Mus musculus: one gene and its partners. The protein of the gene in region 2 binds, or shares a complex with, the protein of the main gene of each other region. Links are inferred from orthologs where the notes say so. Each region holds a gene or a part of one and is shown on either strand. Other genes may lie near its edges. The genes, in order: Nbr1, Gabarapl1 and Stbd1.

What was found.
Region 1: the proteins of Gabarapl1 (region 2) and Nbr1 are in contact, whole or in part, in an NMR structure (PDB 2L8J), measured with the Homo sapiens proteins. The link is inferred for Mus musculus from reciprocal best matches to the Homo sapiens genes GABARAPL1 and NBR1. Residues at the interface, in NP_113600.1 of Homo sapiens: Glu12, Tyr13, Lys16, Glu17, Lys20, Ile21, Lys24, Tyr25, Arg28, Pro30, Lys48, Tyr49, Leu50, Val51, Pro52, Phe104; in NP_005890.2 of Homo sapiens: Ser729, Glu730, Asp731, Tyr732, Ile733, Ile734, Ile735, Leu736.
Region 3: the proteins of Gabarapl1 (region 2) and Stbd1 are in contact, whole or in part, in a crystal structure (PDB 8X8A), measured with the Homo sapiens proteins. The link is inferred for Mus musculus from reciprocal best matches to the Homo sapiens genes GABARAPL1 and STBD1. Residues at the interface, in NP_113600.1 of Homo sapiens: Glu17, Ile21, Tyr25, Asp27, Arg28, Pro30, Val31, Ile32, Lys46, Lys48, Tyr49, Leu50, Val51, Pro52, Asp54, Leu55, Gly58, Gln59, Phe62, Leu63, Arg67, Phe104; in NP_003934.1 of Homo sapiens: Glu201, Glu202, Trp203, Glu204, Met205, Val206, Pro207, Arg208, His209, Ser210, Gly213.

The regions. Positions count from the first base shown.
Region 1 is NC_000077.6:101,576,613-101,579,659, forward strand, and holds part of Nbr1 (next to BRCA1 gene 1 protein), read left to right. Parts: intron 1-581; coding exon 582-639; intron 640-1,319; coding exon 1,320-1,425; intron 1,426-3,047. UniProt on the Homo sapiens protein: Ubiquitin-binding autophagy adapter that participates in different processes including host defense or intracellular homeostasis.
Region 2 is NC_000072.6:129,536,145-129,539,612, forward strand, and holds part of Gabarapl1 (gamma-aminobutyric acid receptor-associated protein-like 1), read left to right. Parts: intron 1-1,346; coding exon 1,347-1,425; intron 1,426-2,425; coding exon 2,426-2,544; intron 2,545-3,468. UniProt on the Homo sapiens protein: Ubiquitin-like modifier that increases cell-surface expression of kappa-type opioid receptor through facilitating anterograde intracellular trafficking of the receptor. Involved in formation of autophagosomal vacuoles.
Region 3 is NC_000071.6:92,601,797-92,605,982, forward strand, and holds the start of Stbd1 (starch-binding domain-containing protein 1), read left to right. Parts: upstream 1-1,254; 5' UTR 1,255-1,312; coding exon 1,313-1,541; intron 1,542-3,085; coding exon 3,086-3,873; 3' UTR 3,874-4,186. UniProt on the Homo sapiens protein: Acts as a cargo receptor for glycogen. Delivers its cargo to an autophagic pathway called glycophagy, resulting in the transport of glycogen to lysosomes.

The DNA of each region.
Region 1 (3,047 bases), on a different chromosome or scaffold from region 2:
AACTCACTCTGGTCTCGAACTCAGAAATCCGCCTGCCTCTGCCTCCTGAGTGCTGGGGTTAAAGGCGTGAGCCACCACGCCCGGCCTGGGTTTCCACTCTTAAGCCTGTTGCAGACCTTGCAGAGGTGGGCACTGTGCTGTGCTGGGAAGAGCAGCCTTGGAAGCCAGCCAGCTCCAGCTCCAGTTTTGCTTTTCCTCACAGACTAATGCGGCAGCTCAGCTGGTTTGTGATGCCTTCAGGACTGCGCCCTTATTTTAGGTCTCAGGACTGTAGAACTGTGAAGGAGTCAGGAGGTCCCCACTCAAGGTCACTTCCTCTTCCAAAAAATGCCCAACCTAAAACTCTGCGAACTAACACATCAGGGTTACAGGATTAGAGGGTTATTTTTCTACTCAATGATGTCCCCAGCATTTCTAGACAATTTGTCTTCCTCTGTGACTTAAATCAGCCACAGACCTTTCTAAAACTTAAAAGAGGAAAAGAAAGGAGAAAAAAACTAAAGACACCCCCATTAACTTGCCGCCTGCCTTGATAATAGCTTGTGGGTGCTGCAGCTAACCAACAGCTCTTTTGCTTTTAGAGCCCAGAGGCTCAACAGGACTCGCAAACAGCAGACAGAGGAGCTGTGACCACTCAAGGTAACGACCTTGTGAAGTCTCTTCTTGAGAAACAGGAAGACATCCCAGCATTGCTTCTGCTTGAATGAGCCTCTGAGAGCAGGTGGCGAGCACCTTAAATGAGCACCTTCCAAGCACAGGAAGGAGCACCCTCATTCCTCCTTGTTCTTACGTCTGACACTTATGAGCACCACCGGCAGAGAGCTAAAGCTCATGCTTAAGTGCATCACTTTTTAGGGATTACCCTGAAATCCACCTCACCTGTAATGCCCAAGAAGACAAGCAGGCCAAGCCCCAGGTGCATCTAGCTGGTTTTCTTACATACCGCTGCCTCTCTGGTCCCTGCCGTCTCAGATCAGAATCCAGAAAAATCACATTTCCTTTGCCAGGTTTTCTCTGAGATGTACAGACAGATGGCTGATATCCAGGTGTGCCCATGACCACATTAATTTTCAGCTGGGATGGAAAACTGGCGTAGTAACTAGGGTGTGCGTTTCCTGCAGTACTCAGGTCTTCTGCCAGCCGAGCCAGAGCCCTGCAGCAAACCAAGATCTGTAGCTATGAAAACATTTCATTCTCTCTTTTTACATCTGATTTTTTTTTTCTTTTAAGGATACCTTATTTTTCTTTCGAGATTATCACCCACATTATCTTGTAAGGTCATGTTTTATTAGGGGAGATAATTTGGTTTTCCTCTGTAGGCACCACAATGGGAGCAGCATTGCTGGAGGACTGGTGAAGGGGGCTTTGTCTGTTGCTGCCTCTGCGTACAAGGCCCTGTTTTCTGGGCCACCAGTCACTGCACAGGTCAGTGTGTGGTTTCTTTTCCTTAACTTCAGCCCCCAAGTCACCAGTGCAAATGGCAGTCCTTCTGTCTGGATTGGCAATTAACATGGCAAGGACTATGTGTAGACAGTCTCTTTAATGAACACACAGCCTGCCCGCCATTTCCTATCATTTTAATTAATTAAGCTACTCTGGGAAAAACAGGAAAAGAACCTAAGATTTGTTGAAGACTGCATGTACAAAGTTGCTGTTCTACAACAACGTAGTGGACATACTACGGGATAATAAGACACACATTCCTGTCAAACAACTGTAGGGAATTGGCAAAGTATATACATTTCCAGGACAGGATAGGACACTGTGCTAGTGCATCTCCACCTACTGGGACTGAGGCTCTTGGGAGTTAGTATCTGAAGCACAAAGCAAGTGTACCCCAGAAAAGTAATGCTGGATATGATAGCGCTCACCTATATTCCCAGCTACTCAGGAAGCAGAAAAATTGCAAGTTCAAGGCCAGCCTGGGCTACATAGTAAAACCTTTTTTCAAAATAAAATTTGAGAATATAAAACCATAAAAAGGTACAAATGTAGTTTAGTAACAGTAGAACTCTTGCTTAGCACCCTAGGTTCAGTTACAGGTCTTGTCTTCTCCTTTGGAGATAGAGTAGTGTAGCTGGAAGAGTTGTGAGTGAGCGGATGATGGATTGATCTGAAGAGGAGAAAAGACCAACTCTAAGTGCGGGGGTTTTATTCTAAGACATAGAAGGGGAGGGTTGTTGTGTTGTTATGGGTTTGTTTGTTTGCTTTTGGAACAGAGTCTCTACATATCTCTGGCTGTCACTGTAGAGCAGGCTAGCCTTAAACTTACAAATTCATCTGCTTCTGAGAGCTGGGACTAAAGGCTCTACACCTCCATTAACAGGAAAGAGATAGGCGCGTGAGGACCTGCCGGTGATTTAAGTGATTAGCAAAGGAGTGCAAGGATAAAGCTCAGGCTTTAGCCTAGGTACTCAGTATCACGCATCTCAGTGAATAAAGGTGCTTGCTGCCAAGCCGTGACACCCGGAGTTCCGATCCCGGGAAGGAGAGAACTGACTCTCACAAGTTGTCCTCTGGCATTCACATGAGCACCCCACACACAAACATACAGTAAAATGCATAATAAACTGGGCGTGGCGGCGCAAGCCTTTAATCCCAGCACTTGGGAGGCAGAGGCAGGTGGATTTCTGAGTTTGAGGCCAGCCTGGTCTACAGAGTGAGTTCCAGGACAGCCAGGGCTACACAGAGAAACCCTGTCTCAAAACTAAAAAAAAAAAAAAAAGCATAATAAATACACCCCCAAGTAAAACAAGTTTATTACTTGCCAGTTTTCTTAATGTTGAATTTACAACTTATCCAGGTTAAAAGTAAAGTCATGCAGCATGCAGTTGGCTGTGTACACCTCCATTACAGAGGATGGATTTGACCTGAGGCTGAAGTTTGAGAGTCATTTACATACAGGTTCTAGCAGGAGCTGTGTGATTGGATAAGATTATCCAGGAAAAATAAAAGGCAGAAGCAGCCTTTTAAGTATCAAAGCAACAGGATTCTACTAAAACAGAACTTAGAAGAAACAGGGCCACTGCTGCAACTTGGGGAGGTTT
Region 2 (3,468 bases):
AGGTCGGAAACACACTGACAGACACTCAGCTTCTAGGGATACTTGTCCAGTGTTGTTTCTGCTTCTTTGCTTTTGTGTATTTCCCATTTCTTATCTCTAAGATGAGATTTTCAAAACAAAGAATCTAATGTTAATATTCTTGTCAGATATTTTCTGTTCTCTGAGCCACTCTGTAAACATCACCGAAGATTTTGTGTCTTTTTCTTTGTTACAAAATGCAGAATCTTTAAAAGTGTTATGAAAAAACTTAATGTCGACATTGAAAGTCCCTTAAAATTCTAACACGGTTACTAATGCTGAATAACTTAGTGTGTGACTCTCAAAAAGTGTCCCTCATTATAAAAATTCAAAATAGCTTTCACTCAGCAATGAACACTTTTCTGCAAAGATTGAAATCTGAACCACATTACGTGCGTGTGTATGTGTATGTGTGTGTGTGTGTGTTAGTCATCACTGTAGCAGTGTCTGAGAAGGTCAAATTCTATAGGGAAAGAAAGCTACTGACTTCAGAAGTCTTTGTCCATGCTCTTAGATGGCCCCAGTCTTTGGCCTGGTGGTGCGTCAAACTATCGTGTTAGAAGCATAGAGGCACAGATGAGGGAGGATTAGTCTCTGGCTCAAACACCTAAAACCTCCATGATGCCCCACCCCTTAAAGTTTCTACCACTTGCTCATAGCACCAAGGCAGGAGCACTTTTTTTTTTTTTTTTTAACACAACGGCCTTTGAAAGGCAGTGAAGTTCTAAATTATAATGTTGTGCTTGTAACAAATGGCATTTCCCCCTCTGTGTAAGTGTGTACACAGGCGAGGGAGCATGTGTGTGATTGCGTGTATGTATGTGGAGGCCAGATGTTGGTATCTCACACAATTCTTGCTTACTCTTCACATTACTCAGTGTGAATCCAGAGCTTGCCCCTTTAGTTACTCCAGCCAGCCAGCTTGACCCAGGGATCTCCAGTTTCTGCCTTCCCAGCATGGGGACTGCACATCCAGTGGGCACTCACATGGAGTTTGGGGATCAGAACTCAGTCTTCACACTTTGACAGAGAGCGCTTTTGTGACTGCTTCTTCTCCTGGGTCTGTAAATGGTATTTTAGAGGAAAAATAAATAGGTCATCAGACACATCTTAGAAACACAGAACATCTCTTCAATTCTCTAATAAAATACCGTAGGGTGAATGACTTTTATAGCCCTTTATAGGTAATTTGTAGTTGTTTAAACTCAAGGAGTATTGGAAATGGGGACTGAAAAATGAGACTGGACAGCATGGGCAAATTTCAGGTATGTAAGGAAAAAGACAATGCTAGGCTGTCTGGTTTTCATCCCAGTCTCCTGTTCTTCTAGGTCATCGTGGAGAAGGCTCCTAAAGCCAGGGTCCCTGATCTGGATAAGAGGAAGTACCTTGTGCCCTCCGACCTCACTGGTAACCATCTTTCTCTCTTCTGACCTTTCATTCCAGGCAAAGCATTCTTGATCTTTAAGTCTAAGTTGGTGACTATATGGGTTGTCACTGCATGTAGGTGGTGACCTTGCATGGTTTCCTTCAGTGAGCTGGCCAGTACAGATAGGCATACTCTGCCCTCCTGTTTCTAGTTCTGTTTGATATTTCCCAATGCCATACTCATGTACCCTAGTCATGGAGACACAGGAAAGCAGTACTCTGGGAGTAAAGAACAAAAGTTTGTCATTTATACCACTTTAAAAATCAGCCATGCTATCCTGAGGTGGATCGATTTATATCAGCTCCAGCCGTGTCTTGGGTATTGTCACCAAGGAGGATCACATTTCAGAGATTTATATCCAAATACTTTATCTTTAAATGTGCTTCTGTCTGGGAGATGAAAACTGCAAAACCTAGCCTACTTTCTGTTTTGAATTATATGTATTTAGAGTTTACCTTGTTCTTAAAGAAGTACCAGGTGCCTTCAGGATGCCCTGGAAAGATTCTTTTAGATGCAGTGTTCACGCATTTGCCTGTCAGCCTCCCAGAGCTTCATTGTTTGCAGGAAGAAGTTGCGTGGGCTCATTGTCCCAACATTTGCCCCCATGGTACTGGGAGGGCCAGAGTGCAGTGGATCTCTTCCTATTGTTAGCTCTTAGAGTGCAAATGGGACCCCAAAGGAATCAGGAGTCCATTTAGATGGGAATGCTTGGATCTACATTGTACTCCCCCACAATAGTCGTGCTGGATAGATTTGCTAATATTGAGTCTGAAGATGGATGAGGAAGAAGGGAGGGGACAGTCCCAGTGTGGTGGGTCAGACACTGTACATGCCTCCTTTTCTATTTTCCCACTAAGGCTCTCGGACAGCTTTTGGGTCTGAAAAGCTTGTACTTACACAATAGATTTTATTTTGTTTTCTGAGGTTTCTCCTACTAATCCTTTTTCATTTCTCACCCTGCTCTCTGTTTCCTTCCTGTAGTTGGCCAGTTCTACTTCTTAATCCGGAAGAGGATCCACCTGAGACCTGAGGACGCCTTATTCTTCTTTGTCAACAACACCATCCCTCCCACCAGTGCTACCATGGGCCAGCTGTATGAGGTAATGGTCTTGATCACAATACCCAGCAGCCTGGTGTCCCTTCGCTCTGGTTCCAGGGTTTGTTAAACACCTGGGAAGTAGGGCAGGAGGTGTTATTTATGGGGATCCTCTTACACACAGCACTGTGACGCTGGGAGATTAGATACCCTTTGTCCTTTAGGGACTGAGCACCTACTCGATTTAATCTTTTGAAATCTCTCTCTAGTCTTTCCTGACTGTAGTACTTTATTGCCGGTTCCAGTGGTTCTTGGTAGCAAAGCATCACCATGCTCACCCTTCTGTTACTGTCTCTGGAAGCACAGTTTGTTAGTGAACTGTGCACTCCATTTCCTGCCTGTCAGCCATCCACATCTAGCAATAGATGGAGAAAAGAGACACCAGCAACCCTTGGCTCCTTTTCCGTCTGAACCTGGAGCCCTGTCTTCCCAGTTAGCTCCCACATAAACGGCCAAGATTCGGCTTAGGACAGGCACATCTGGAAGCTCTCTTTCTAGAGCAAACCGGAGGCCACGTAAGAGTTTCCATTATCTGAGTACAGGGAATGAGTTAAAGTGTCAAGTTAGGATCTGATTTGGGAAAAACTGTAGTGAGGACTTCATATACAAATAATGTGACCTAAGATTGTGACTGTACTACTCCTTGTACGATGTCACACATGATACTGCCTTCCCATTGTGCTCCAATAGTCAGATGCACATCTAGTAACCCCTGGTCTAGCCCTTATTATTCCATAGCATATATTCCCGTGAGTATGTATGCCAGTAGATGCTTTGTGGTTTCTGTGCTCTCCTTGCTAGAGTGAGGAGTTTTTTTTTTTCCTTTTTTTAAATGTGTGTGTGTGTGTGTGTGTGTGTGTGTGTGCTTGCAAGTGTACATGGATGTGCGCACACAGGTGGACATCGAAGGACAGTTTCAGGGTGTTTC
Region 3 (4,186 bases), on a different chromosome or scaffold from region 2:
GGGCTGAGTGATGCTCTGATCTACAGGTATAGCAACAGTCTATTTGAAAGTTAAATAATTTAATAATAAAACAGGAGTCAGTATTGCTCTGTTCTCCACCTCTCTACCAGTTGCAGCCTATGCCAAGAGAGGAGCAACCCACCAGGAAGTCTCTCTCAGGAGATGTGTGATCTCTTGTGATCTCAGTGATCCAGCGAGGTGCACTGTTGAGTGATTGATCCTCCCAGAGGGAGCCATGTTAGCAATAATTGCAAGGCATATACTTTCCAGCTGTGGCCTCAGCAACAGGATGTATGTGTTTAAAGGAAAGACTCCAGGTAAAACACCCGGCTCTTTACCCTGAGTAGTGTGCACATCAGCACAGCAGTGTGGTCCTTCCTTCACAGGATTTCTGTTGTGTGAGGACCAATTTAAGTTCATACACAAAACACTTTGACTATATGATGCTTTGATAAAGGGTTGCTGCTTTATTAATATTTACTTGTAGGGGCTCCGTGTCTGGGCAACATCCAGTTCAGCTGGGTGGGTGGGTGTGCAGCAACACGCGTGGCGAGAGAGAGAGAGAGAGAGAGAGAGAGAGAGAGAGAGAGAGAGAGAGAGAGGAAGAGAGAGAGAGAGAGGAAGAGAGAGAGAGAGAGAGAGAGGAAGAGAGAGAGAGAGAGAGAGAGGAAGAGAGAGAGAGAGAGAGGAAGAGAGAGAGAGAGAGAGAGAGAGAGCGCCAGAGCCTGTAACTCCCCACTGGAAACGGGAGAGAATTTCGAGTTTGAGGCAGCCTGGGGTACGGAAAGACTTCTAGGCTAGTCTAGAACCTTTTTTTAAAAAAAAGAGTGTAGGAGGTCCCAGAGGTAAAGGCGAACAAGATTGGCGGAGGTGGTGGGCCTTTATGTAGAGATTTGAGAAAGCTGGGGATGGATTGGAGCTTCCCCTAAGCCCCTGCGCCCTCCCCACGATCCTTACTCTCTCCACCCCTAATTGTGCTAACCGTCCAGTGAGAGCCTTCTCCGGCCTCAGAGCTCCGGGCGCCCATCTCCTGGCTCGGAGCTGTGCGTAACCGGGCTCTTCTGGCGTGGGATAAAGTGGAGCGGGACCAGGTGTGGAAGGGCCGGCAGCGGTGATGGGAGTGGGCGAGAGCCGGGTTGCGGGGCGGGGCGAGCGGGGCGGGAGGCGGGGCCAGGAAAATTCGCGGCGGCCGTGGAAGGCTGGGCTGGCGGCCAAGAACCTTAAAAGGATGGGGCGGGCGGGGTGGGTGTGGCCGTTCGGGTGAGCGGAGCCCTGCACTGGGGCTCGTAGTCTCCCTCAGCCTCTCTCAGCCATGGGCGCCGTCTGGTCAGCCCTGCTGGTCGGCGGGGGTCTAGCTGGAGCGCTCATCCTGTGGCTGCTGCGGGGAGACTCTGGGGCCCCGGGGAAAGACGGGGTTGCGGAGCCGCCGCAGAAGGGCGCACCTCCTGGGGAGGCTGCGGCCCCGGGAGACGGTCCGGGTGGTGGTGGCAGTGGCGGCCTGAGCCCTGAACCTTCCGATCGGGAGCTGGTCTCCAAAGCAGGTATTCTTCCTCCCCTCGAGCTAGTTGTTTTGAAGTTCTCCGGGGAAGGGGAAACGAAAGGCACTTGGAGCCATGCGGGTGGGTTCTGGTGGACCACCTTCCCCGACCTCGGACTGAACCTTCTTCAGCCCTCATCGCGTTCTGGGGTTGTCCTGTCCTGGAGAGGCCACGCGGGTCCTCCAGAGGCCGCGCCCAGCTTCTGCCGCCTCAGCGGGCACAGGCTCCTCCGCCTGGCCGCACTTGGAGCAGTGTACGAGGATGGCTTGGGGGGGGGGGGGCATCTCACAACTCTTCAGTTCCTGCTGAAGCTGAGAGGGACATCTTCTGAGTCCCAGTCGCTGACATACCACACCCCTCCTTAGATCTGGGGCTTATGAACACTCACTTCCTACTATCTGGGCAGCTTTTTCAGGAAAGTAAAATTCAGCTTAGACTTAGGTCATGAAGGCCACTGTAGCTGAGGCTTTGTGCTGGCGTGTGAACAAGTGGTGGCCTACTAGGGAATCGAACTCTGATGAGAATTGTCACCTAAGTTTAAATCTACATTTTAGAGACCCTGCATCAGGCAATCAGTGTGCACTGGCACAAACCCTTACCTCCTGTGCCCTTTGCCCAGCTGCCTGGCAGAACTTATTTTTAGTGGTGGTCATTTGTAGCTACTACGTGAAAATCTTTCCCACGGCTGGGTTTTGATAAAAGGTTCTTCAGAAAATTAGGACTCCAGAGTAATATTTGCTGACATCTCACTTTGAAGGTCATCATTAAAAAGAGGCAAACATGTAGCGCAGAGTTCTCCTAACCCCTGCTGATTTATGGTTTTAGGGCGGTCAGGCTTCTAGGAGAGGTCGCCAGGAATGAAGCCAGGGTTTTAGAGAACTTGGATAGTATACTTTTAAGAATAGTTTTTATAACTGTATGTACTTATTAAGGAGGGTGGGTGGGATGGGAAAATCTTGTGCTTGTTGAAGACATTACTTTTCCCTCAAGCCCTCCCCACCCCCACCACACCCCCCCCCCCCAGCTCCACTCAGTCTTGTTCTCGGTTTTCTTCACACTGACTGCTATGCTTTCCAGTTAGCTGGAGCTGGCCCGTCTTGTATTCACTGCCAGGGAGTTCAGGTGTACTCTCAGGTGCAGGGTAGCCATGTAATCCTTTGTTCTATAGAAGCCACCAGCATGTGAGGCTGGGCCTTGTGCTAAGCTCCTGCCCCAACCCTTGGACAGCATTTTTTTTTCTTCTTTTCTTTAAATGACAGGAGCCAAGTGACTTAACTTTGGATACCTGCCAACATGGTCTGGACTGTGGGAGACTTTGCAACTTGCCACTTCATTCTCTCTCATGGTGTGTGCTGAGACTCCCCAAGTGTGCTTTTGATCGTTGGCTCTACATGTGTGCTCTTAGAGCAGTGTTGGGAATGTTCAAATAGGTACTTGCTTTTTTTAAAACAGAGCCTTGAACTGTACATAGAAATAAAGACAAGAGCAAAAGTTTTCTGCGTCTTCCTTTGTGAACCACCTAATGTTACTGCCCTTTCCTTTCTTAGAGCATCTTCGAGAAAGCAACGGACATTTGATTTCTGAGAGCAAAGATCTTGGTAACCTGCCGGAAGCACAGCGGCTGCAGAATGTTGGAGCAGACTGGGTCAATGCCAGAGAGTTTGTTCCTGTTGGGAAGATTCCAGACACACACTCCAGGGCCGACTCTGAAGCGGCAAGAAATCAAAGCCCAGGATCTCATGGAGGAGAATGGAGACTCCCCAAAGGACAAGAAACAGCTGTCAAAGTAGCTGGCAGTGTGGCCGCAAAGCTGCCCTCCAGCAGCCTGCTTGTGGACAGAGCTAAAGCAGTCAGTCAGGACCAGGCAGGCCACGAGGACTGGGAAGTGGTGTCTAGGCACTCATCTTGGGGGAGTGTTGGTTTGGGTGGCAGTCTTGAGGCTTCTAGGTTAAGTCTAAATCAGAGAATGGACGACAGCACAAACAGTCTTGTGGGAGGAAGAGGCTGGGAAGTAGATGGGAAAGTGGCATCTCTGAAACCTCAACAGGTCAGCATCCAGTTCCAGGTGCACTACACCACAAACACCGATGTGCAGTTCATTGCAGTGACTGGAGACCATGAGAGCCTTGGGAGATGGAACACATACATCCCACTCCACTACTGCAAAGACGGGCTCTGGTCTCATTCTGTCTTCCTGCCTGCAGACACAGTGGTGGAGTGGAAGTTCGTGTTGGTAGAGAATAAGGAAGTTACTCGTTGGGAAGAATGCAGCAATAGATTCCTGCAGACTGGCCATGAGGATAAAGTGGTTCATGGGTGGTGGGGGATTCACTGACTCAGTTTTCAGAGCATCCAAGAGGCTGCAGCAGAATGTGGACAAGGCTAAGGCTTTAGAGCGCACTGCATAGCTTAAAGTAAAGGCGGTGTGATTCCAATTGTAGCCATCAGGGCTCTTTCAGATTTGCTAGTGTGGCTTTTGTCCAAAATGTAGGAAGATGTATGCCTGCAGATAATGCTTCCTGTAAGCTGGCACTTGTCCCTTATTGTATTGACTGGTTTGTGCTGACACATCAGGACTTGAGGAATTGATCATCCTGGGTAGTTGCATCTTGGGTAGTACACCTGAGGTATGGACTACATATGGGCAA